3 linked regions of the Mytilus edulis genome follow. The protein of the gene in region 3 purifies or fractionates together with the protein of the main gene of each other region. This does not show direct contact. Links are inferred from orthologs where the notes say so. Each region holds a gene or a part of one and is shown on either strand. Other genes may lie near its edges.

Region 1 (7,695 bases), on a different chromosome or scaffold from region 3:
AGAAAAATATTTTTTTCAGTTAGGTTTATTCTATCTTCATTTTTTTTTATACAGTTGCAAATTCATTTTATCCAATACATATTTGATATTTTCTATGTTTACATGTTTATGTTAAAACTTTCAATAATATTTCATAAACTGATGCGCTACAAATAATCTGAAGAAATCTGCTTTAAGATCCAATTAAATGTGTTTAGTAAATTTAAAAATTCAGTATTTAACATTCTTAAATGTTTAATAATTTGAACATTTACTATTGTGTTTTATATTAGAGCACCTAATAATTCAAATATATACAAACCTACAACCCCATCTGCAACTAATGCAAACATTGGGCATATTTTTGGTAAAAGTTTTTCAACGAAGGAGGTAACTTCGACAGCTTCACACTTTGCATTGCGTGGAAACCTTGTCGGATGAGATGATGGTAAACTGACTGGAGTTTCATAGAGTCTGGATGTACAAAACATTAAAACATGATCTGGTTCACTAGATAGTTGCTGAAATGACAAATGCACAAAACATGCAATAAATCCAAGTTAAATTTATCAATCTAAATAAAATCATTAACAAACTTAAAATGAACCCTCCCCAAGTCATTAGATCTATTCAGCATATTGCAATGGGAAATTACAAAGTATTAAAGTCTTTTTTTCAAAATATTTTGGGTTCCCACAAAAAAGTGCAATTATATATTTTTTTTTAAATATTATCTATAGATATATATAGTTAAACTGTATCCTTTTAATTGTGTGATATCTGATTGACTGGAAAAATTGATATAAAATTAGCTCAGCTAACAAGTGTGAATATCAATGTTTTGAACAACAACTAAAACAAAACATAGTGTTATTTTATATTTCCAACCGCTGCATACTCCTTAGAAAACTAGTGGTCAACTACTCAATATGTTAGGTCATTATACAATTAGATATCAATAGTTAACACAATATCTGCTATAAATGAAAGCATAAATATATAAAATAAATCTATACAATGTTCACTGTTTGACAAAAAAACCCATAAACACTGCCATAACATAAAACCTCTAATAAAATCTATCACTTTTTACAATAATACCTCAATGAAGGCAGACAAGTTTTCTGTTTTACTGTTCAGACCCTCTTCTTCATCACATTCTAATGACATCCATTCTATTTTCTTTCTTTTTTTCTTAATAGTTGCTGCATACTCACTCCAGACTTTACATACTCTGAAATCAATTTTTTTAAATATTAAACTTGAATGTTATTTGGGCTCTTTCATTGAGATAAGAGCCATCTCTGTAGGCCCATGTGGTAAAAATTTGTATCTTTACCATAGGACAAGAGGTTGTTAACTGAAACCAAAGTTTTTAACCTTGACTTTGACCTAGGATCATTGAGGATGCTGTACATACATTATGACACACCCTCTGGTGTTGGTTAATATACATGTCAAGTATAAACTTTGAAATTATTACAGTTCTCAGGATAAAGAGTGGACACAATTTTAACCATAGGACATGGGGTTGTCAACTGAAACCAAAGTTTTTTACCTTGACCTATGACCTAGGAAGATGTACATACATTATGACAAACCCTCTGGAGTTCGTTAATATACATATCAAGCATCAACTTTGAAATCATAACAGTTCTAAAGATAAGGAGCAGACATGAACTCTACAAGAGGACATGGGGTCGTCAACTAGAACAAAAGTTTTAAATCTTAACCTCTGACCTAGGAAGTTGTACAAAAATTATGACACATCCTCTCCAGGTGTCTGTTAATATAGGTACATGTCAAGTATAAACTTTGCAATCATAACGGTTCTCTAGATATAGAGCGGACACAATTTGTTTCATATGGACAGATGAACTAATCACCATAAAGCGACACGCCATTTGGTAGGGCCTTAATAATTGTTACATTTTTGTAGCTAGTCAACTCAAGAACAGCAAAAGTAAAGCCAACACAATTTGAACTTGATCTGTGGTTTGTGGTAATAAGCATTATGTATAAGTTTCAAAACATTTAGTTGAGCAAACTGAAGTTAGAAAAAACGAAAAACCAATTTTGGGACGGGTGGATGTACAGATCTAGAAGGACAAGGGGACAAGGGTAAAACTTAATGCCCCCTCTTGTAAGGGGGGGGGGGGGTGGCATAAACATTCATCCAATTTAATTAATCCTGTTCACTGCATTTGAAGAGGAGTATAGAAATTGGTTTTAAAATGTACAATTTGATTTATAAATGTATAACATTTCTGCTTTTGTTTTTAAATAAATAGTTTTCTAACCCTCTTGCAGTCTCTTATTTCATATGGCATGTATGGTTGTATTTTCATTGCCAGAAAATACGGCAGCTTGAAATCTGGTATGTCACATGCCCAACTACAGAGTCATTAGATATATGAGAGAGGGGCAAAAGATACCAAAGGGGCAGTCAAACTTATAGATTGAAAATAAGCTGACAGCACCATCATGACCATGGCTATAAAATGATAAAAGAAAAAGACTAATAGACAAATAATAGTAAAAAGATTAAGCAACATTATAGAACCCCACCAAATACTGGGGTTGATCTCAGGTGTTTCCTAAGGCTAAGCAGATCCTTCTCCACATGTGGCACCCGTCATGTTGCTCATATTAATACAAATCCAGTAAATAGTCTATTTCGGTAGGTTACATTCATGAAAAGGGAAGGGGATTGAAGTAGCGACATAAGGAACATCTCTGATATCATTTGTGAAACGGTAATTCCATAAAGGTCAACAAACTTGTGATGGCGTCCGGAAAATTTACTAAGAAAGATTTCAACTTCACCATTTGGATAATTATTTGAGACCTATGAAGAATAATGATAAGAACATTTTGACGAATCACGGTAGAATTTTTACAAATTTTACGCAGATGTTCGCAGAAATAATCTATTGACACCTGACGGTAAAGGGCATTCTTATCCTGAAATATCGGATAATGATTTGAGAAAGTAACGTCAGACTTTGATATCGATTATAAGAACAGATGTAAGAATAGATCGGAGGTTGATCTGAGTCTAAGACAAAAACATATAACAAGATAAATAAAAGGGTGCAACATCACTATAACAAATACACTCATGAACAATGTTAAATATTTCGGATAACCAAGGACGTATATTAGTTATATATGTTAGTTATACGTCCTTGTGATAACTAATACCCACCATCAGTAAGATGTCAAATGTGAAATGATTCTTATCTTGTACTTATAAAAAAATATATACTGGTGTATTGCATTTAATTTACCTTGAACACGAGTTTAAAGCTTTGCAAGGAAGAAAACTTAAAATTTTATAAAGAATCACTGGGAGACGTAGCACTTCTGAGACATGACACTCTTCCATATCTTAAAAAGAAACACGTTTAAATTAGTTCGTTCAGCTTTGTTTTCATTTTGAGTTACTTTTAAACCTTCAGAAGAAAGAGTTACTGATTTGGAATGAAGCGCTTTCGAGACGCCGAAGTAACCAAGACGTTGTTTACAAATGGCGGCGTCCATGTAGCAGTTTCGACAGTTCAGAATGGGGTCAGCTTCAAGTCGATCCAGCCAAGTACACTCATTTCAGGTGGACCACACAGCCTCAAAGGATGCCAGGTAGATATAGATTCTGAAATTGATAGGTGGAATTTTCACACTAAATAAAAATCTTTGTACTGTACAAATGTCATAAGTTTGTGTCATTAGAAAATGGCAAAACTACAGGTAGATCACCCTTTATCAAATCTTACCCAAAAGACACTGAAGATCATCATGCTTTGTTATTTGTTCCAAAAATTAACATTACAGAGAACAAATTTGTATCCATGTATTTCTGGCTATATCATTCATGCAAAATACACTGCTGCAATAAAGCATTACATGCAACTCTGAAAAACCATCACTTGTTGTTAAAAATTTTATTAAGTGGTCAAATAGAACTCAACCCAGGCCCTAGAATGCCACGCTGGCCATGCGGTTCATGTGGCAAAAATGTCACTTGGAAATGTAAAGCTCTAGAGTGCGACTCTTGTAAAACTTGGTACCATGTAGACTGCCAAGGAGGTATGCAAACAACAATGTATAACATAATGGACAACAGTAACCTGTCCTGGAATTGTTTAAAATGTGGACTCCCAAACTTTAGCAGTTCATTCTTCAACCATACTGACATATCATCATCAGTCACAAACAATTCTTTTTCATTGTTAAGCGACATTGGTAGTCCTGGACAGCCACATGCTTGTTCATCACCAATATCACAAAAGGACACCAGAAAACAAAACAAAAAAGGTATAAATACCCAAAATAAGTTACTCAGACCTTTAAAAATAGTAAATATCAACTTTCAATCTATTAAGAACAAAAAACCAGAAGTAGATATTTTGGTCGATACCACACAGCCTGATATCATAATAGGTACTGAAACCTGGCTAGACCCTAAAACATCTTCTTATGAATATTTTTCAAAAGATCATTACACAGTTTTTAGAAAAGATAGACCACCAAATAAAAAAGGACAATGTCATGGAGGCGTACTCATAGCTATATCAAATAATTTTTTATGTACAGAACTCAAAGAACTAGACACAGGATGTGAAATGATATGGGTAGAACTATTGATATCAAATGCACGTAAATGTTATATAGGTGCTTATTATCGACCTCAGCCAGATGATGATACATCTTTAGATTTACTAAATGAATCCATTAGCAGAATAAACGCAAACTCAAAGTCAGCCATAATTATTGGTGGGGACTTTAATTTAGGAAACATCAATTGGGAAACAACTAGCGTCATCCCTGGAAAAGCAAACCAAAAACAACATCAACAACTGTTAGATATAATAAATGACCATCCATTAGCACAAGTCGTAAACATACCAACTCGAAATGACAAAATTTTAGATCTTGTGTTAACAAATTATCCGGCCATCATTGAAAAAACTGAAACCATGCCACCATTAGGGGAGGCAGACCATGATATTGTATATATAGAATGTTTACTTTCATTAAAAAGTTGCCAAACCGAGCCACGTAAAGTATACAAATATAAAAATGCAAACTGGCAAAAAATAAAAGAGGATATCGATGAAATATATCAAAAGATCGTATATAAAAAAGATAGTGAAGATACAAACACTCTTTGGTTAACATTTAAAAACTCATTACAAAACACTATCACTGAGAACATACCCCAGAAAATGATGAGAAACAGCAAAAATTTACCATGGATAACAGACAGTATTAGACGACAAATGAAAAAGTATAAGAAAAAATATCAAAAGTACAAATTGAAAGGCAAGGGGAAACTAGACCAACTCAAAAAATTAAAACATGATATACAAAAACAACAAAGAATATCTTATTGGAATTATATTGAAAATATGATATGTGGTATACCAGTTGATGACAACACTACTACCATATCAAAGAGCTTCCCAAAAAATCTGTTCAGTTATATAAAAACACAAAAGTCTGAAAGCTCTAATATACCACCACTCCAAAAAGAGGGCTCACTTACATCTGACTCAAAAGCGAAAGCTAACATTCTAAATGAACAGATCAAAAAATCATTCACACCTGTAACAGATGACCCAATACCAGATAAGGGCGCCAGTAAACATCCACAAATGCCTGATATTAAAATACAACAACAGGGCATAGAAAAACTTCTAAATAACATTAACATCAACAAAGCAGCTGGGCCTGATCTCATCCATGGTAAAATTTTAAAAGAGTGTAAATCATCCATCACTCCCATCTTAACAATCATATTCCAATCATCACTCAACTCTGGAAAGATCCCAGATGACTGGCGTCACGCAAGTGTATGTCCAGCATTCAAAAAAGGCGACAAACACGATCCAATAAAATATCGCCCAATATCATTGACTTGCATCTGCTGCAAACTATTAGAACATTTGATAAAGTTTCACATCACCACCTCATGTACAAAATTGGTTTCTACGGTATAAATTGCAATGCATATCATTGGATTCAAGATTTCTTAACAAACAGAACACAAACTGTAGTCCTTGAAGGTGAAACATCAAATAAAATACCTGTAACATCTGGGGTACCTCAAGGCACAGTGCTTGGTCCAATTTTATTTTTAATCTTCATTAACGATTTGGCAGAATATATTGAACATAGCACATTAAGATAGTCTGACTTAGAAGCGGCTGGCAGGTGGGAGCAGGACTGGCTCATGCATTTTCATCCTGATAAGTGCAACATTCTCAGTGTAACTCAAAAACGCAAACCTTTAGACTTCACTTATAAATTACACAATCACTCTCTAGAAAAAGTTGACTCTACAAAATATTTAGGCCTAACTCTTCAATCAAATTTAAAATGGGACAAACATATAGATAACATGACATCAAAAGCAAATCAGTCCCTTGGATTTATTCGTAGAAACCTAAAAATAGCCTCTCCAAAAGTTAAAGCACATGCATATAAAGCTCTTGTCCGACCAAAATTAGAGTACTGCTCAACAATCTGGGATCCACATCAAAAACAGCAAATTACACAAATCGAAAAAGTTCAGAGAAGAGCAGCACGCTTCTCATGCAATCGCTTCCATAACACCAGCTCAGTTACTGAAATGATGACAGACCTAAATTGGTACCCACTCGCAATTAGGCGCTTACGTTACAGACTTGTTTTCTTCTACAAAATTATTCATGAAATTGTTGCAGTCCCTACACATAACCTTTTGATACCACTAGACAATAGAACCAGACATAGCAATCCGCACTCATTTAGGCAAATACAAACATCTGAAGACAGTTATAAATATTCTTTTTATCCACGAACAATTATAAATTGGAACTATCTGCCACAATAAATAGTATCATGCAGTACAGTAGAGGGATTTAAGAGTATGATCACAGAATCTGCTCTCATCCCCATATTCTATCCCTAACTATTCTGTTATCAAATGTATATAGTTTTATCAAAATTTTTTTTTTTGAATGTACATACGTTATTTTGTTTTTTATTTATATTGTTATTTTTGATTTTTTTTTTTTCCCTGCTAAAATGTAAATTATAAATTTTATAGTCGACGCCCGGCAAATAATCTTCAATAATTGAAGGATCGCTAGAAACCTAAAGAAGAAGAAAAAGATGTCTCACAAATGTATGGTTAGATCAAATGTTTTCCTATATGTCATATGAATTCTTATTTCCAATTGTAAGTGTGACGTTATAATGCATTATCACAGAAAACCCACGAGAGGAGGATATACAGGAGGATGTTTATATACCTTATCTCTATTTGTCAGACATTACTGGAAATGATAAACATAAAGATTCCTGTGAATGTTATGTCACAATGGAATATATCTGACACCACAATGGAAAAGAGATTGTTGTATGGTATCAAAAGTTCAAGTGGCGCAGAATTTTGTCAAAATTTGCGGACTTCCAAATAGTGAGCTTTCGGGTCGATCCAGCCCCACGTCGATCCGGCCCAAGTCGATCCGTCCCACGTCAATCCGGCCCATATGTACAGTCAATTCGGCCCCCCAAAAAAATATTTATAAGGATAAGGAATAAAAATAAAGATATACAGTATATTAATTGTAATTCATAAATGTTTATGATTTTTATTATAATGTAAAAGGTGTACAAGATTTTTTTCCAGATTATTGGGTATAATTATATTAAAACATATATAAAAAGAAT
Region 2 (8,499 bases), on a different chromosome or scaffold from region 3:
TAATTACTAGTGTAAAAACCATTAAAAACGGGAAAACAACTGTATAATCTATATAAAACCGAGAAAAGAGAAACACTTATGACAATGTATGAACTCCAGAAACAAACGACAACCACTGTTGGACAGGTGCACACATTTGCAGCGGGATTAAACGTTTTAATGGTACCAAACCTTCTCTCTTTTATGAAACAATAGCATAACATCACAGGGGCGGATCCAGCCATTTTAAAAAGGGGGTTCCCAACCCAGGACAAAAGGGGGGGTTCCAACTATATGTCCACATTCAAATGCATTGATCGGCCAAAAAAGGGGGGTTTCAACCCCCGGACCCCCCCCCCCCCCCCACCCCCCACCCCCTGGATCCGCCAAAAATGCAAAAATTCGGAATAACTAAAAATGTCAAAGTTTCAGTACGTTTTCGATACAGAACAATTCTCAAAACCATTTTTAGTTGCATTTAATGTACAAATGCATATCAGTATATACAGTAAGAGATCAAAAGTCTTTTTCACAATTTGAAAATTCTGCTTTATACTTCACATAAAACACATTTTTATAAAAAAAAAAAAAAACTCCTACCATAGACATATATGTTTCTGTTTCTACTAAAGTTATTTTTTTTCTCGATTTGAATGATCCTCAGTTCTTTATTATCATTTTCGGAGACGTTTTGTTCTTCTCCATGAACTCACTGGCTTCAAATCGGGACGTTTGCACTTTTTTTAATGTACATTCGCGCTTCAATTCATAAGACATTTGCGATTTTACAATATTTCTTTATGGTTAAAAGTTAAACATTCTATAACACATTCGCGTTTAAAAATAATTTTATAGCGCATTGATATAGTTATATGTATACCTAAAAGTGAACATTTGACATTATGAAGACACCAAAGACACATAAAGTTATCACAGGCCAGTTTTCGCCTAATATCTGAAGCCCAAGAAATAAACAATTTTGCTTTTGTAATCTGTCCTGACTGGTATTTTCCCCTCATTTTTATTATATACAAGTACACACCCGTGATATCGCGGGTCCGTGGCTGAATTAAAGTATATAACTATGCCTAAGCCTTATTTTAGTAATTAGTATTGTCATCTGATAAAGTCATGTCGATTATAAGATAAAAAGTTTTCTCTGCTTTCAAATCTTTCTGTTTGAACCCGTCGACCTGGAACTTATCAGTTATTTATAATAATATTAATTATTTGGAAAACAAAAGGTCCTGGCTATCCAGGAATGGAGTATTTTTTAATCAACAGCATTGTCCTATATTAGTTATCTTAGAAAGTCTTGCTGATTGCTGAATAAAACTACAATAGGGAACAATTTGACAATGATTGAATTTAGTAGTGTCAGCCCTTTGATTATGACCCGTATATATAGTAAAATCCTAAATACACCGTTTGGTGGTGCGCCTGTCAAATGCGGAACGTACAGATAAGGTAATAGCTGACAGGTGAATATACTATTGGTATCGGTATCGGATTCGACCCGGAACTTGTTAATTATTGGCAATATTAATTATGTGGAAAACAAAAGGGTCTGGAGTGGTGTAATTTTTAATCTACACCATTGTCCTATATTAGTTATATATAGAGTTGAATTCTTTGATTTGTCGTTTTTACCCGATGACGGCTGACAAATTGGACCTCGTAATTTTAGTATTATAGATTCTAGTCTCTTTTTTTCATTTCTTGACTGACATGTCTGTTCGTCAATATATAACGAATGCTAATATTATAAGCCGACTGTTGTTCAACGGTAAAAATCCATCGTGACATAAACATTTTTTCCTGTACTTGTCTCTATATTTTTATACTCTAATGTTTGAGACTGTGTCTCCCTTGACATCATTTACGAGTATGGTCTTCGAAGGAATCGATTCTAGTCCGTCGGAAGGGGACGTTAAATGGCTGACCCATGTTAAGAGAGAGCCATATCTCAGCTTGCACGTAAAAGATACCCTTGTAGATTTCGAAAAAGAGTAGGCTAATGCCGCTACAAGACAACACTCGCACCCGCAAAGTGGAAAGGGATTGATATAAGTTGAAATAACTTGTTTTCCCAATTCCCTATAAACAAATATGTTTAAACTAAGACGGTGTCAGTGCGAATTTTACTACAATTGTATCAAAATTTAAAGGGCAGATGACCACAGTCTGTGGAGCGCAGATGTCATATCGTGTTACAGGTTAAAAAAAAGCGCAAACATCTTGTGCCCAACAAATTTACAACTTACCAATTAGTTCCTACAAAGAAAGATTTAAAAATGATTAAAATTGTCAACACAGATACGAATATTTTGTTTTAGGTTTCATGAAGCTAGAGATAAATCCTCACACAAAAACACTGAGTACTGTGAAACTGACAATAATCATTACGATGCTTGATTTTTATTACTGACCACATTTTTGATACGTTTGGAGGACGTGTTTTCTAACAGTTAGTCGGAATTTATGTGGGAACCAATTGACTGAGGTCATTTTCTTCTGATATGATCTATTATTTCATCTCACATTATAACGACGATCCTTCTCGCTGAATAATTCACACTTGATCCTTTCAAACTTGAAACAGACAAATCACATATACAAATAGGTCTAAGCCTGCCTTTGTGTGCGTGATTTTCTCACATAGTGTTGAAGATCTTTATAGGTGGCCTTGTGCTGTTTTCTGCTCTTTGGTAGGGTTGTTGTCTCTTTGACACATTCCCTATTTCCATTCTCAAGTTTATACTATATGATAAAAACTTATACCTAGATATTCACAATGAAGGTTCGCTGAGAGCTAAATTTAAGGCAAAGAAAATAATTTTAATTACTCCATTTTGAACTTTCTATGTTATGTAGCAAGCTACATTCCTGTAGGAATACATATCCTTAGCTTGCGTTCTACTTTATGATTTCTTCGATGGAGCATTATTGCTTACAAGGAATTCGAAGCTATTGTATCAAGGCTCCTAAATGTAAAAAGTAAGTAATTCTTTCAGTGATGATTTAATAACGGACACCATCATAATTTGATTTGCTGTATGGAATATATCTGTGATATAGATGACCACGGATATTCTTCACTTTTCGTGCCTAAAATCCCGACCCATTTTTCTTGATTGTGACATCAACAAATACAAGTTATCCATGATTTTACTAACTTAGTCTATGTGTTGGTTTTAAATGTTGTATTGTGTTTGATACTTTTATTATGTCAATGCTGTGTTCATTTCAATCTGTCATGTCGTATTCAATCAAATTCGTAGTTAAATAATCTATGTCAGTACGATAGGTTATGATGTGTTAGGGTTAGGGTTAAGAGAAATCCGCCTATCCTCTAATTAATACTGCGAAGCTAATGGGTAAAAAGTTAAGATAACAAGATAACAAGTGCCATGGCTATTTTTTAATCAAAAAAATTGTTTATTGAAAGAAAAAAAAATATTAACAGGGAAATTACCTTCTTCCTTTAAAATGATTTTTGTAAAAGTATTAATCTCTACACGTGCTTCATGTAAAACAATGCCGATTAAAATACATTTTAAGGAGAAGATACGGGGGAAAATTGTAATATGAAATATTGTTGATTCATCTACATCTCAAAACCAGCACCCCAGTACTATCTACTTTTGTTTGTAACTAGAGCAAAGCCAGCACATGTCTCCACTTGCAAACATGCAAATGGATTGTTGGTGCTGAATCAATCGGAACAACTCGGCCTTTCTGGTTGCACGAAGAAATAACCTCGTATGCATTAGGCGGAGGAATCATTGTCCGGAAAATTTTCCGATTCGATTCAAAATTATATTTTTTCGACTGGACTGGTACATTTTTTTTACCACTACTGATTTAACTTGCTCCTGTCCGGAAAATTTTCCGATCTGATTGAATTTTATATTTTTTCGACTGGAATGGTACAAATTTTTTACCATTACTTATTTACTTTGCTCCTTCTTTCGCGCCAAAATATTTGGCAGAGTTAAAGTTCTTGATTACTGTGATATGTAACCAAATTATAGCGCCACCTGGAGGATAGAACTTCTTTGTGTCGCGGATCACTACAATTCCGGCCAACAATTTAAGAAGAATTTCTCCGTAGTGCATACGAGGCTATTGTACTGCGTAGCGAGAATGGCCGAGTAGTTACGATTGGGTGCTGAATTTTACATCCCAATGAAGCTCAAATCAAATTTAACAGTGAAATTTTGAAGAAAAAAAGGTAAAATATTTTTTATTATAAATCAAAAATTACACAAAATACCGAACTCCAAGGAAATTTTAAGTCCCTTATAAAATGGCAAAAATCAAAAGCTTAAACACATCAAACGAAAACAACTGTCATATTCCTGTCTTGGCTTGTATGTATGTATGTATGTATGTACTGGTAAATGCCTCCGATATCCGAAGAACCCCTCGAAAACTGCGAGGGTACAGTGGCATCCATGTACACTCCCTAACGGGATTAATGGAGATGTGTCACTAACGTATGTTTATACGACAATTATTTTTACAAGGACAATCAATCCCCACCCAACACAAAGGGAGTGCTAGGACACCGGGCAGTCTGTTATTATGGTGGAGGAAGCCGAAGTACTCGGAGAGAACCACCGGGCCACTCGGTGGAAAACAGACAAACCAGAGAGATATCAGAAGATTGATCTCCAGGTCAAAGTAAGGGACAACTTTGACCAACCGAGGCCCCCAAAGTACCCATTCTAGTTTAAACTCCGGTCTGGGTACCAGAGATGTGTGTGAGAGGGTGAAAATTACCCTTCTGATGTGCTGATATTTTTAGCACCCCGAGTGAGAATCGAACTCGGGACCTTCAGCACTGTAGCCATCGGTCTTAACCACTAGACCACGCTTGTACATTTTTGTCTACATGTTATTTTTTTCCATTATTTTCTATTCTGATAATCCCACAAAGACCTTCATAATATTTGTATCATGCGGTCTTATAATTTACGGAAATAGTTGTCTGAATTTTTCTAAATTTTCATATGGTAATAGGGCAGACCTAAAAAGTCTTTTCGGATTGATCGAACTTTTATGAAGAATTAGAGAGCTTCCGAGACGAACGTAAACAAACGTTACAGTATCACATGTACAGCTGTACATTGAAGTATGTTATCTATTAGAGTTTGACCCGTTGAAAGTTTAACTATACATATGCACTGTTAACTTTATATTTCATACTCACATAGCATGGCATCAAATGACCTTGAAAAGTTCCGAACTGAATGGAAAAACGAACTTCAAGGGAGTAATGTCATTCCAGATAAAAGAGGACAAAGTTCAATAGCTGTTGCTCCTACATTAGCAATCGATATTGTCCTCCCAGAAAATATATCTAATACCTCGAATTCCAATCCAACAAATTGTTCTGAGTGCAGAGTTCACCCAGCTTTTAGGGAAAATAACAAGTGCCATACTTGTTTATTTGTCAATAAACAAAATAAAGAACATAAAACCAACACTCAGTTCTACCCATTCCAAATAGTTGATGGTCTTCTTAATTCAAAAGATAACATCAAACAAAGTTGTAGTCCGGAAAGAGAGTTATTATCAAATACTAAAGTGACAAGCACCTGTGAGAAGAAAAGAAAATATGATGCATTCAGAAAGGAAGACGTGAAAGACATCTTTTCCAATAAACAAGGTCGAAAGGAGGTTGATAAAGAGAGCTATTTAGACTTGTTTATTGCTGATTTGGTAAGATATTTTTTATAGAGTTAATGAATATACAACATTTGTCAGTGTTACATAATCTACATTTATATATATATATATTTCCAATACTATGAATAATGCTGATACACCAATAGAATTTGATTTCCATTGGAGGAAATGTTAACATTTTCCTATATATAAATCTTAGTTCTCACAACAACGTAGAATTGAAACCAAACATCAAAATTGATTGTCTTGCAAATTTCATCAAATAGCATTTTCATATTTTATATAAACATGCTTCTATGGTAAAGTGTCGGTTTTGATATGTATTTTGTCCTAACCGATTCCTCATTACTATTTTAGCGTATTTTGCCACAGCATTTGTTGGGCATCCAAGCTGACCTTGTTCCATTTTATGTATATAGTTTTGCACTTTTTTATACTTTGAGGACTGATCGAATCAGATGAGTGTGTGAGTTTAGTATGTTTTATTTTATTGCATTATATTATGTTTGGGGAAGGTTAACTTTCTGGTAATAAGACCCGTCACAGCCTGGCTGGGGAATTGGGTAGGCAAATGCTCACACTAATCTGTACAGATACAGGCTCCAAATGTCCTCCTTTTTACGCCATAACTCATGGTGGTGCTCCTAATTAAAGGAGACTCATACAGAGACAAGAAGAAGGTAATAGAAAAGAATCAACAGTTTTTTTTGTCTTCTAACATGTCTGAACTGATTACCAAATTGGAGTTGTAATAAAAATCAATTTGCTGTTGTTTTTAATTTATTAATTTCTATTTTAGGATGAAATAAATGAAATTCCATTTTTTGATCTGACAGTCCCAAGGGAGGTTGCAATAAAAATATTTGAACCTCTTGATCTCAAAGACTTGTGCAGATGTTCTCAGGTGAGTGCAATGAATGATATCATGTATATTTATATGTAGTTATTATATGGTTGGCACCTGGTGTAAAATTTGAAATTAGAAAAATTTTCATCCTGATACTGTGGATTCATTATAATTTGTTGGACATTGTTGTGGACAATTTTCGTGGATTTCGTGGCAACAGATGAAACACGAAATTAAATGTTCAACGAATACCAAATTTTATATCTCATTACTCAGTATGCTCATACTCGTAGCATCAACGAACTTGTTTACTGTTGCATCGCATTTACTTCATGATTTATCCTACCATTTTCCTAAAATCGGTCAAGAGCAATTAAGGGAAGGCAACTGTTTAAAAATAAAATGATTTTATTGACTCAAAACGATAATTTTCTCTGTCATCGCTTATGTTTTTTCGATTCTGAAGTCGATATTTAAACCAAATGTAAAGACTAATTTCCGGGAATAGTATTTTTTATCAAATTCACAGGAAATCATCAGCTTTTTAATATTTTACCTTTTAAAGTGTAAGAATATTAATGAAAATAGTTGCACTTGCTTTATTTAGCATAAAATCATTTTAAATTTACGATTTAGTGTCTAATCTGCGGAAGGGCATTTCAAGCAAGCATATTACATGGTAAACAAAGCACGTGTGTTAGTAGTGAAAAAATACTTTTTCAAATAAATCATAATTGACAATTGTCTAAGCTGAAAAGTAATTAAATAACGAAGACAGTTGGTATGGAATTTTAATTTCTTTATAATATTAGTTCAGAGCTTGTGATTAATAACCAGGTGTGAATTAAAAACACAGGTAAAGAGATTAGCAATCATTAGCCAATAGCTCCCCGAGGCATTAAATATAGTTATTAGGAGGGCCCTCAGGATTATAACACTCTACTGGAGTGGCAGGTTAATTATATAAAATCGATAACAAAACAAAAACATCTTCAAAATGGTGATTTTGAAACTCGATCTCCAAGAAATGACCGAAATTATTTCTGTTGAAAAATAGAATTTGACCTAAATCCCAATTACACGTTTAGGACAAAATACTTTCAGTTTAGGACAAGATTGGCAAATATGACTGTTTCTGGACCCTTGCTGTATATCATGTATACAATGTATAAACATGATAAACCTCTAATGATATTTTTTTTTGTTTCAGATACAAATATATACTTTTGTTAAAACCAGGATGTTGATACAAGGCTGATTTTGTTTTTGGTTTACTTCTGTGTTGATGTTTACTCTATATGTATATCTACTTTATTTATAAGACACATGACACACATTGATTATTTAATATTTTTTGTGTTGTCAATTTCCTTAATGACTTTAATAGTTTACTCATGGTTTGTTATTTTAGGTTTCAAAGAGTTGGAAAAGTTTAGCAGATGATGAGTTATTATGGAATAGAATTTGTCACAAGCTTGGTTATGAACAAGATACAGATGCTGTAGATAAATCCAAGTGGAAGACTGTAGTTAGACATCATATTGAACAGGAAAGAAGACTTGTATATAATTGGAAGGTACATATATAATAATTATTATAAACTAAAGTCAGACATAGAAAAAGCAATAAGTTAAGGTCAGTGTCATTGTTTTTCCAGATACAAGCGTTAAAAATTTGACAGGAAATGGTTATCTCTAATATATACATTAAACATTGGCACTTCTTTTTTCTTCAAACAATATGAAGAAATAACAAGAATTTTATAAGATGGTTATTTATGGCCTTTTAAATTATATGAAATGAAATTATAAAAAGAAAATTTGGTGGTTAGAATGCAATTTATTTTTTTACATGGATAAAACCAGAGGATATTATCAAATATCTGACATATAGTAAAAACTAGAACATCCTGTACAATTCAAATTTTATTTTAAAGAATTTTTAAGTCATGAAAATATATAATTGTGTGTTTCAGAACA
Region 3 (8,513 bases):
ATGTACGTTCAAACTTAACCTTAGTAAACAGTTCATAGAAGTGTTTCAGTGTACATATGTATATGATGCTTCCTCTTGTATATATCTTTTGTCTTCAAGGGCAACACATCTGTAGTAAACCACTTGGACACATGAATCAAGTGCCTCCTACTCCATATTTGCCCACTGTTCAGAGTATTGATAGTCATGCTTAAATCCACATCATTTGGACTCTGTTGGATGGTTGTCTCATTGGTAATCATACCCCATCTCCTTAATTCATACATAGTGGTGTGTATTCACCTTATGGTTATTTGTATTCCAAATAACTTACTACAAAGTTAATCCATGTGTTTCTGTGTATTTATTATTATTACCCATTTTTTTATTTTTCTGTCAACAATTTAGATCAAATCTTTCTTATGAAACACACAACATACTTGTGTATCAAATTTATACCCTTAAAAGCTGCCTAATTGAATTGATTCTGAAGAAATACACAATATGCTATACTATGTTATGACCATGTTATTAAATTTCTACCTTTAAATGCTGCCCAATGTAATGCATTGTCTCCATCCCTGTCTACTATCTGTAGTCTTGCTCCTTTACCCATTAGGTAACCAGCTAACATTGTATGTCCATATTGTGCTGCCACTATTAACGGTGTACACCCTTTATTGTCAACAACATCTATAGAAACACCTGCCTGAAGTAAAATGTCAACTATTGCTACATGTCCATTCACACAAGCCCAATGAATTGGACGTGCTCCTAGTTCATTATTGCTGGCCTCATCAACAGGGCCTTTGTTGTCTAAGATGAATCGCAGTATAACAGTGTGGCCTCCAAGACATGCCCAATGGGCAGGAGTGTGTCCTTTGTCATCTCGGAGTGAGAAAACTGATGGTCCATCTTCAGCTGCTGTCTGAACTGGTACCAACATACTGAAACAAAAATCACAGTTTTTAACATGTTTAAGCCTTAACGGTACATGTACGTCCAGACAGTACAGTATATTTATAACTATGGTGAAAACTAAGTCAAATTTCATTATTTTTAACAAATAAAGTATTACCTACAATGTAGGCCATGTAGGAGTATACAATGTAAACAGTTAAATTATAGCTAATTCTGCTTTTACCAGCTCATTTAAGCTATTATATGCTTTTTTTTAAAACACAAACATGACTTAGCTGAGAGGGCAAGAGAGCAGATAGTTACTCTGTGAAAACATTGTCTACCAAGGCAACAATCTGCTTTATTATACCTCAGTCATCATTTTGTATATAAAATAAGTACACAATATTTTCATTATTTTTTCAAATTGCAAGCGTAGAACTTAATTGGACCAGTCAATAGTTTCCAACTATTGGACCTCGGTGAAACTATTTAACCGCAAACGTCATCATATATCGCAGAATTTCAAATGCAGCTACAGTATTGACTAATTTCAGAATGCCGTGGGGGTTGCAACATCGAGTTTTACCCCTTTTATCTAGGGTTTTATCAGTGCAGAACGTAGTTTAAACTGCTTTACCATTCAGAATATATATGATAATGAAGTAAACATGAAACAATATAATTGTGTTTTTGTTTTTTATATTTATACGATAGTTGATTTAGCCCCAACATTTATTGTCTGATGTCTCTTTGGTCAAATAAAACACTTACTGACCATGCTGACTGGATATTCATGTAACAGTAAGTTCATTGACCCCTCAGATATGCATCAGGTGGGTCTCATTGGGGTCTAAGCGTGACGCGGGATTGCTGATTTTTCGTAAGCGTGATACGGGAAAGTCAAATTATTGTGCCATGAAAACGGGAATTAAGGTCTAGCGGGACACGGGAAATTACAAAAAAATTAGAATTGCTTAGGTACATAGTATAAGCCGGATACGTGAATCTGACAAAACAGTAAGCAGGATCCGGGATCAGAACCCCCCATCAGGGCAATAGTTGCACCTCGGAGACAATAAACAATAAAACTTACTATTTCACTTATACCCAGTCAATAAGTATACAATATCACTCTCTGAGATATCTGTTCATTTGATATTTAATTTATCAAACTAAATGTTCTGTCAACAGTCAGTATTGTCATTTAAAAATCATAAGGGTAAGTAGTAAACTATGACTTCATATACAAAAGTAACACATCATTAGAAAAGAAATAAAAGTTAAGCAACATGCATTTATGCTTTGTTAACAGTTTTATGAAAAAGCCTAAGGCCGAAACGTAGAACTTTTACTGAACATTGTCTTTTAAATAGTAATTGATAGTGAATTCAATTCCTTGTCTTTTGAATTATTAATACATTATTGATCTGCATGGGAGGGTGACATTTAAATAGTGTCTGAAGTAAAATGCCTTCCTCATATTTACAAATCAAAATCAGGCAAATGCCTTTCACATGATCATGATGATGTTTATTGATTTTTTCAAAGAAATTTCAGTTTCTTATTTTTCATTTGGATAATAATCATGATAATCGTGATAATTTAATAATTTACAGGTATAACAATGTATACTACATGTATAAAGAAGCATTATGCTTCCTATAATTTTCAATGTTTTAATTTTACTATAAAAATCAATCCTACCAAGAATAATAATAAAAGTTTAATAAAAACAAATTAGTATTCTGTGAAGTTTTAAACTGCACTCACAAGTATGATTTAGTATTCGTGGTCATGGTGGTATATTGTCCCATTTCCATTCTCAATTTTATTAATGCAGAAACTGCAAAATAATTTGAACAAGAATGTGTCATAGTACACAGATGCCCCATTCGCCCTATCAATGGACTGTGAAATTGGAGTAAAAACTCTATTAATTTGAAAGATCATATCATAGGGAACATGTGGACTAAGTTTCAACTGTTGATTGGACTTCAACTTCATTAAAAACTACCTCGACCAAAAACTTTAACCTTAAGCGGGACAGACAAACGGACGAACAGACCAGAAAACATAATGTCCATAAATAGGGCATAAAATTGACACAAGGGTGACACTAATATGGTGCAATCAGCTAATATATCACAATATACCTCAAAATGTAGCTATTATTAAACCTTGTAATTATGTAAATGACTAGCAACATAGTAAACAAACAGTAATTTCTAAATTAAACAAAAACTTTGAACACGTTTTCATTGCTTCATCTAACAAATAGAATCCCTTTAAATTATATTATTGGTTACTTCACTTTACAAAATTCTATGTAAAACATAAACATTAGTGAAACATGTAAAACTTATAGATTCAGATGATGTGCAAGAGAGATAGAGACGGATGTGTGCGATTTGGTTGGATTTATATGTTGAAATTACCCAGATTTGATTGCATCAAATATTGGATGATTAGGAGGACTTTTTCCATCTTTGACCGCACTTTCTGTCTCCCCAGGACCATGTTTATGGTCTCTGGAGGCTGGTGTTTGGTTAGTTGACATGTTTCCTTTCCGAGATGTTCCAACATGTACATAAATTATTTAACGGATTTACAGACGAAACGAAAGACGGTCGTTCGAAACGTTTCGGTCACATACCAATTCGTCCACAGGTCGTTTCGGCCAAACTTCCAGTTCGTCCACAGGCATTTCGGTCATACTTTGCCTTATTATGCATTCAAGAGGTATGATAGAGAATAAAAAAAAGGAAGAATTTTGTCAAACTTAGCCAAAATATGAAGTATATTTTGTGATAGATTCAAAACCAAGTAAAAATGTCAGACATGTATAAAATCAAGGTCACCGAGCTGAATTTTTTTTTCTCAGTAGACACTGGTTGTGAAAAAGGAGGATTTTTCTGGATAAACATATTTTGTTAAATTAATATACATCACTTTTTATCAACAAGTTATCTTGTTTTTAAAATGTTATTTCAATTTGATTGTGAACTTTACGAATATTTTTGTAACATTTTTTACTGAATTAAAATACATCTTTATCTAATATGGTTGGTTTTTTTTTTACTATTTTTAAATTTAAAAAAAAAATCTTTTTCTACCTTTTATCAAGGACGTATGTTAGTTATACGTAACATGTACGTCCTTTTATATAAAAATCATGGCCGCAATTAATGACTTTACAAAGTTTGTCCGAACTCAGTTCGTGGCAGCATATGGCCGAAACGACTGTTGCCGAACTGGCTGCATGACCGAAATTACTGTTGCCGAACTGGTAGTGTGGCCGAAATGACCAGTAGCTGTTGCCGAACTGGTAGCATGACCGAAATGACTGTTGCCGAACTGGTAGCATGACCGAAATGACTGTTGTCGAACTGGTAGCATGGCCGAAATGACTGTTGCCAAACTGGTAGTGTGGCCGAAATGACTGTTGGCGAAACGTCCTGCATCGAAATTCAGAGATAGGGAACACTGAGACCACTATGACAAAGAGTAGTCTCGGGTCAACACGGTCACCATGGCGTCATTTATATTACATTGGGATGTGGAATGATTACTATAATGACATTTCGAATTTCCAACATAGTCCATTTACATCCATATAGGCCCAATTGATAATTCCAAGTGTCATTACTCTTTCAGAAAAAAATATGAGCAAAGGTGTCGGCGTGCTTCTGATTTATCTGTTTTAACAATCCTAAAATATATCTCTTCAATCAGTAAAATTTACTGAACTTTATTTATGTGCAATTTCTCATTTACGCTGAATCAAAAACTTGACAAACTCTCCGACCTTTATAGTAATTATTCATTTTAATTATGGGCCGAATCGACTTGGGGCCGGAACGACCTGATACCCAGAAGAACTAACAGATTCGTTACACATAAAAATCTACAAATTTAATTTTCAGTACTCCTCAAGACTTTAGCACTGATTTGACGATGACGTTAGAAGGCCGGAAATTTCATAAATAATGGCTGCTGCTATGGATGTCGATGACGGTGATCTTGGAGAATCTTCAGGTTTGGGAGCAGACAAAGCTGGAAAGAAGAGATTCGAAGTTAAAAAAGTAAAACATTTCGACCTTTTACACAAACTCATTCCTTTTTCGGAAATAATATCTACGCATCTTGAGTGTTACTGTTGGTTCTATTTTTACTATTTTAGAAATACGAAAATACGAAACATTTTATTAAACATTTAAGGAAAGCTCAATTATGAACATAATCATTAATATCATAGATACATTTAGAGTAGTCCAAATAAGTATGACATCTTGAAAGGCTATTATATTTTTTTCTTTGATGCCTAACATGGTCGTAAGACGTCAAAGCAAAAATTAAAAATAGCCTTCCAAGACTCCAAAGAAGTCATAATTATTTGGACTAATTTTAGAGTTGGCCAAAAGCAAAGGGCCTTACTCAGGTTGAGCTCAAGTCATGACAAGTTGGGTATTCCTTGTTTTCAGAGTACACTCCAGTTTTTCTGGTGTTATAAAAACAGTATATATATATATATATACATGATATAGGGACCGGTAGGTCTCTTCACCACCGCACACCACCGAACACCTTAAAAGTTTATTATTTTGTCTTTCATCATTATAAATGTGTCTTAAATATTATATTCAAGTTATTAATTTAACAAATCAGAAGATTAAGAGTCCAAAAATCTACAGAAAACAGAAAGGGAGAGTCTATAACACCCCACTTTTTGAACTCTGCAGACCCCCATGGACACCTCAAATATATTTTTTTCCGTTTTTTTCTTCTTCTATCTCTTCTATAAAACATTTGTCCCAATAATAAGAAAATAGACAAATATCAGAATCTAACCGAGAACAGAGATTGAGGATACTTGAACTGATTACTAAATATGAATATTAACACACACAATGTAATCCGGAAAGTGATGAATCCTGAGACGTTTTCCTTATATTGATTATCGACTTTAACATAAAAATGATGCCCATATAAATCTAAAAATTGTTTAAATTATACCTAATTTAATTTGTTTTATCATTTTATCATGTTTATTGTATAATATCACAGTTTATCTTAGTGGTTGGTGGTTTTTATGATGTTCAGTGGTTTTCGGTGATGTTTGGTGGTAAAAAGACACACCCTGTAGGAACCACTTATTTCCTTTTTAATTTATGCCTATGGTATGAAATCTACAAAAGCGCACCTCCTACATGTGATAACAATGTTTTATGATCATGATGATAGCAAGTGTTTTTATTAGTTAAAAAATCAGCTAATTTCAAATAAGACAACCGAGAAACTGAAATATAACAGAATTTTGTGACCGTGTGACATTTTTTGAAAAATGTGAGTTACATGTATTAAAGTACCTTGTGTTATATTATTTAACATGTTTAAAGGTATATAGGGGAAAACAATTCTGAGACAAGTGCCTGTGAATTGCAAACCTGTACACCCAATATCAATAGTCATGATAGTGTTACATACAACTGTATCTGTCATATTGTAACTTGATTGTCCATTTTGTATATTAGAAGTATATTTTTTAATATTTTCTATTTCAGTGGAATGCTGTAGCTTTATGGGCCTGGGGTATGTACACTATTAAAGTGATAAATTAGTTCAGGTGGACATGATGATGAATATTAGAAGTACATCAATGAATAGAAGTTTTACATTTGAATTCAGACAGGAGTTATTTTCTTCAAATCTGTCACATATTTTAATGTGCCAGTCCTAAGTGGTGAATGTTTTCAGTGTTCCTTAGCTATATAAAATTGAGAATGGAAATGGGGAATGTGTCAGAGAGACAACAACCCGACCAAATAAAAAACAACAGCAGAGGGTCACCAACAGGTCTTCAATGTAGCGAGAAATTCCCACACCCGGAGGCGTCCTTCAGCTGGCCCCTAAACAAATATATACTAGTCCAGTGATAATGAACGCCATACTAATTTCCAAATTGTACACAAGAAACTAAAATTAAAATAATACAAGACTAACAAAGGCCAGAGGCTCCTGACTTGGGACAGGCGCAAAAATGCGGCGGGGTTAAACATGTTTGTGAGATCTCAACCCTCCCCCTATACCTCTAACCAATGTAGAAAAGTAAACGCATAACAATACGCACATTTAAATTCAGTTCAAGAGAAGTCCGAGTCTGATGTCAGAAGATGTAACCAAAGAAAATAAACAAAATGACAATAATACATGAATAACAACAGACTACTAGCAGTTAACTGACATGCCAGCTCCAGACTTCAATTAAACTGACTGAAAGATTATGATTTCATCATATGAACATCAGGCACAATCCTTCCCGTTAGGGGTTTAGTATCATACTATCATAGTCGTAACATATATGAGAAGAACATAACCCGTGTCATGCCAACAACTGTTTTTAGAATAAATGTGTTTAGTTCCGATGCAAAGACCTTATCAGTGACTCAATATTAACGCCAAAATATGCAATCTTTAATGACTTGACAACAGTATCGTAATTATATCCCTTCTTAATAGGCAGTGTCTGCGCGTACCCGCATGTGGGTACGAATAGTCAAATTGACATTCGTAGGCTACGCGTACCCACATCCGGTTTTATAATAAAATGCAATCAAATCGGGAATTAAACGTGAAATATATACAGAAATTATCGATAATATGGGGATTTCGAGTAGAATGAGTGAAGGCAAGGAATTGGTATAACAAATAATATTTTCGAATTGTATTTATAAGTTAATAATATCAGAGACGTCTCTGATAATATATAATAAATGCACATGTACTGATTGAAAATGAAATATACAGTCCCTGTAAACTATAGTCCTATAATCTGATAATATATAATTTCCGAATTTTAAGTTGCTTCCACGCCTCAGAGGCAAAATATTTTTTGATGCGCTGAAGGTTTAAATTACATTTTCGTCAAACATTTTGTTATCTATTACATGTACACGATTAAGAATACACGATGCACGCACGTTACACGGAAAATACACGGAACGATGAATGATGAACGCACGATTGTTACACGCACGATACACGCACGATGCACGCACGCAACACGCACGATACACGATGAACGCACGGAATAATGGTCAGTTTGAATTTTAGAAGGTCTGTACATGTATTAACGAAGCTTTCATTGAAGATTATTGGCATCGGCCTTTGTTTTTCCAGAAATAATGTATTAGGCCTTAATTTGTCCTGTCGAACTTGTTTAGAATTTTTTGCCTCCGTGAATGACAGGAAAAAAATATTCTGTAAAACTTGATTTCCTCTTTATTTTTTGTTTTTCCAGTTCATCTTTTCTCTGCAGCTGCAATTGACTCCGAGTTTGTTTTTATATACAATTGTATAAAATCAATCGACTGATACTTTTGAACACATTGTTCCAATTCATGATAACTTTGAAATGTCTGCCCCACATGTATATCACTCTTTTCCCATTTTAAGAATATTTATTAACCGGGAAAAACTGTTGATCACTTACATGACTTACATATATATAAATGTTTACAAAACTTCTTAAGTAGTTGATCAATTTTATTCACTAATTGCGATAATTTCTGTATATATTTTACGTTTAATTCCCCATCCGATGGCAATTTATTATAAAACCGGATGTGGGTACG

The links. Proteins that work in one complex are often made in the same cells at the same time.
Region 1: the proteins of E3 ubiquitin-protein ligase RBX1 (region 3) and F-box only protein 22-like purify together in Homo sapiens (affinity purification with mass spectrometry; 4 studies listed by BioGRID). This does not show direct contact. The link is inferred for Mytilus edulis from reciprocal best matches to the Homo sapiens genes RBX1 and FBXO22.
Region 2: the proteins of E3 ubiquitin-protein ligase RBX1 (region 3) and F-box/WD repeat-containing protein 8-like purify together in Homo sapiens (affinity purification with western blotting; 6 studies listed by BioGRID and IntAct, with this or other methods). This does not show direct contact. The link is inferred for Mytilus edulis from reciprocal best matches to the Homo sapiens genes RBX1 and FBXW8.

The regions. Positions count from the first base shown.
Region 1 is NC_092347.1:84,613,269-84,620,963, reverse strand, and holds the start of F-box only protein 22-like, read right to left. Parts: upstream 3,437-7,695; 5' UTR 3,368-3,436; coding exon 3,270-3,367; intron 1,214-3,269; coding exon 1,081-1,213; intron 501-1,080; coding exon 302-500; intron 1-301. Other genes in the region: interaptin-like, read left to right, coding at 3,545-3,618. UniProt on the Homo sapiens protein: Substrate-recognition component of the SCF (SKP1-CUL1-F-box protein)-type E3 ubiquitin ligase complex that is implicated in the control of various cellular processes such as cell cycle control, transcriptional regulation, DNA damage repair, and apoptosis.
Region 2 is NC_092349.1:74,090,454-74,098,952, reverse strand, and holds the start of F-box/WD repeat-containing protein 8-like, read left to right. Parts: upstream 1-5,063; 5' UTR 5,064-5,199; coding exon 5,200-5,706; intron 5,707-6,472; coding exon 6,473-6,577; intron 6,578-7,931; coding exon 7,932-8,096; intron 8,097-8,495; coding exon 8,496-8,499. UniProt on the Homo sapiens protein: Substrate-recognition component of the Cul7-RING(FBXW8) ubiquitin ligase complex, which mediates the ubiquitination and subsequent proteasomal degradation of target proteins.
Region 3 is NC_092351.1:23,908,957-23,917,469, forward strand, and holds the start of E3 ubiquitin-protein ligase RBX1, read left to right. Parts: upstream 1-4,805; 5' UTR 4,806-4,868; coding exon 4,869-4,964; intron 4,965-6,443; coding exon 6,444-6,471; intron 6,472-8,513. Other genes in the region: uncharacterized protein, read right to left, coding at 523-926, 3,318-3,439. UniProt on the Homo sapiens protein: E3 ubiquitin ligase component of multiple cullin-RING-based E3 ubiquitin-protein ligase (CRLs) complexes which mediate the ubiquitination and subsequent proteasomal degradation of target proteins, including proteins involved in cell cycle progression, signal transduction, transcription and transcription-coupled nucleotide excision repair.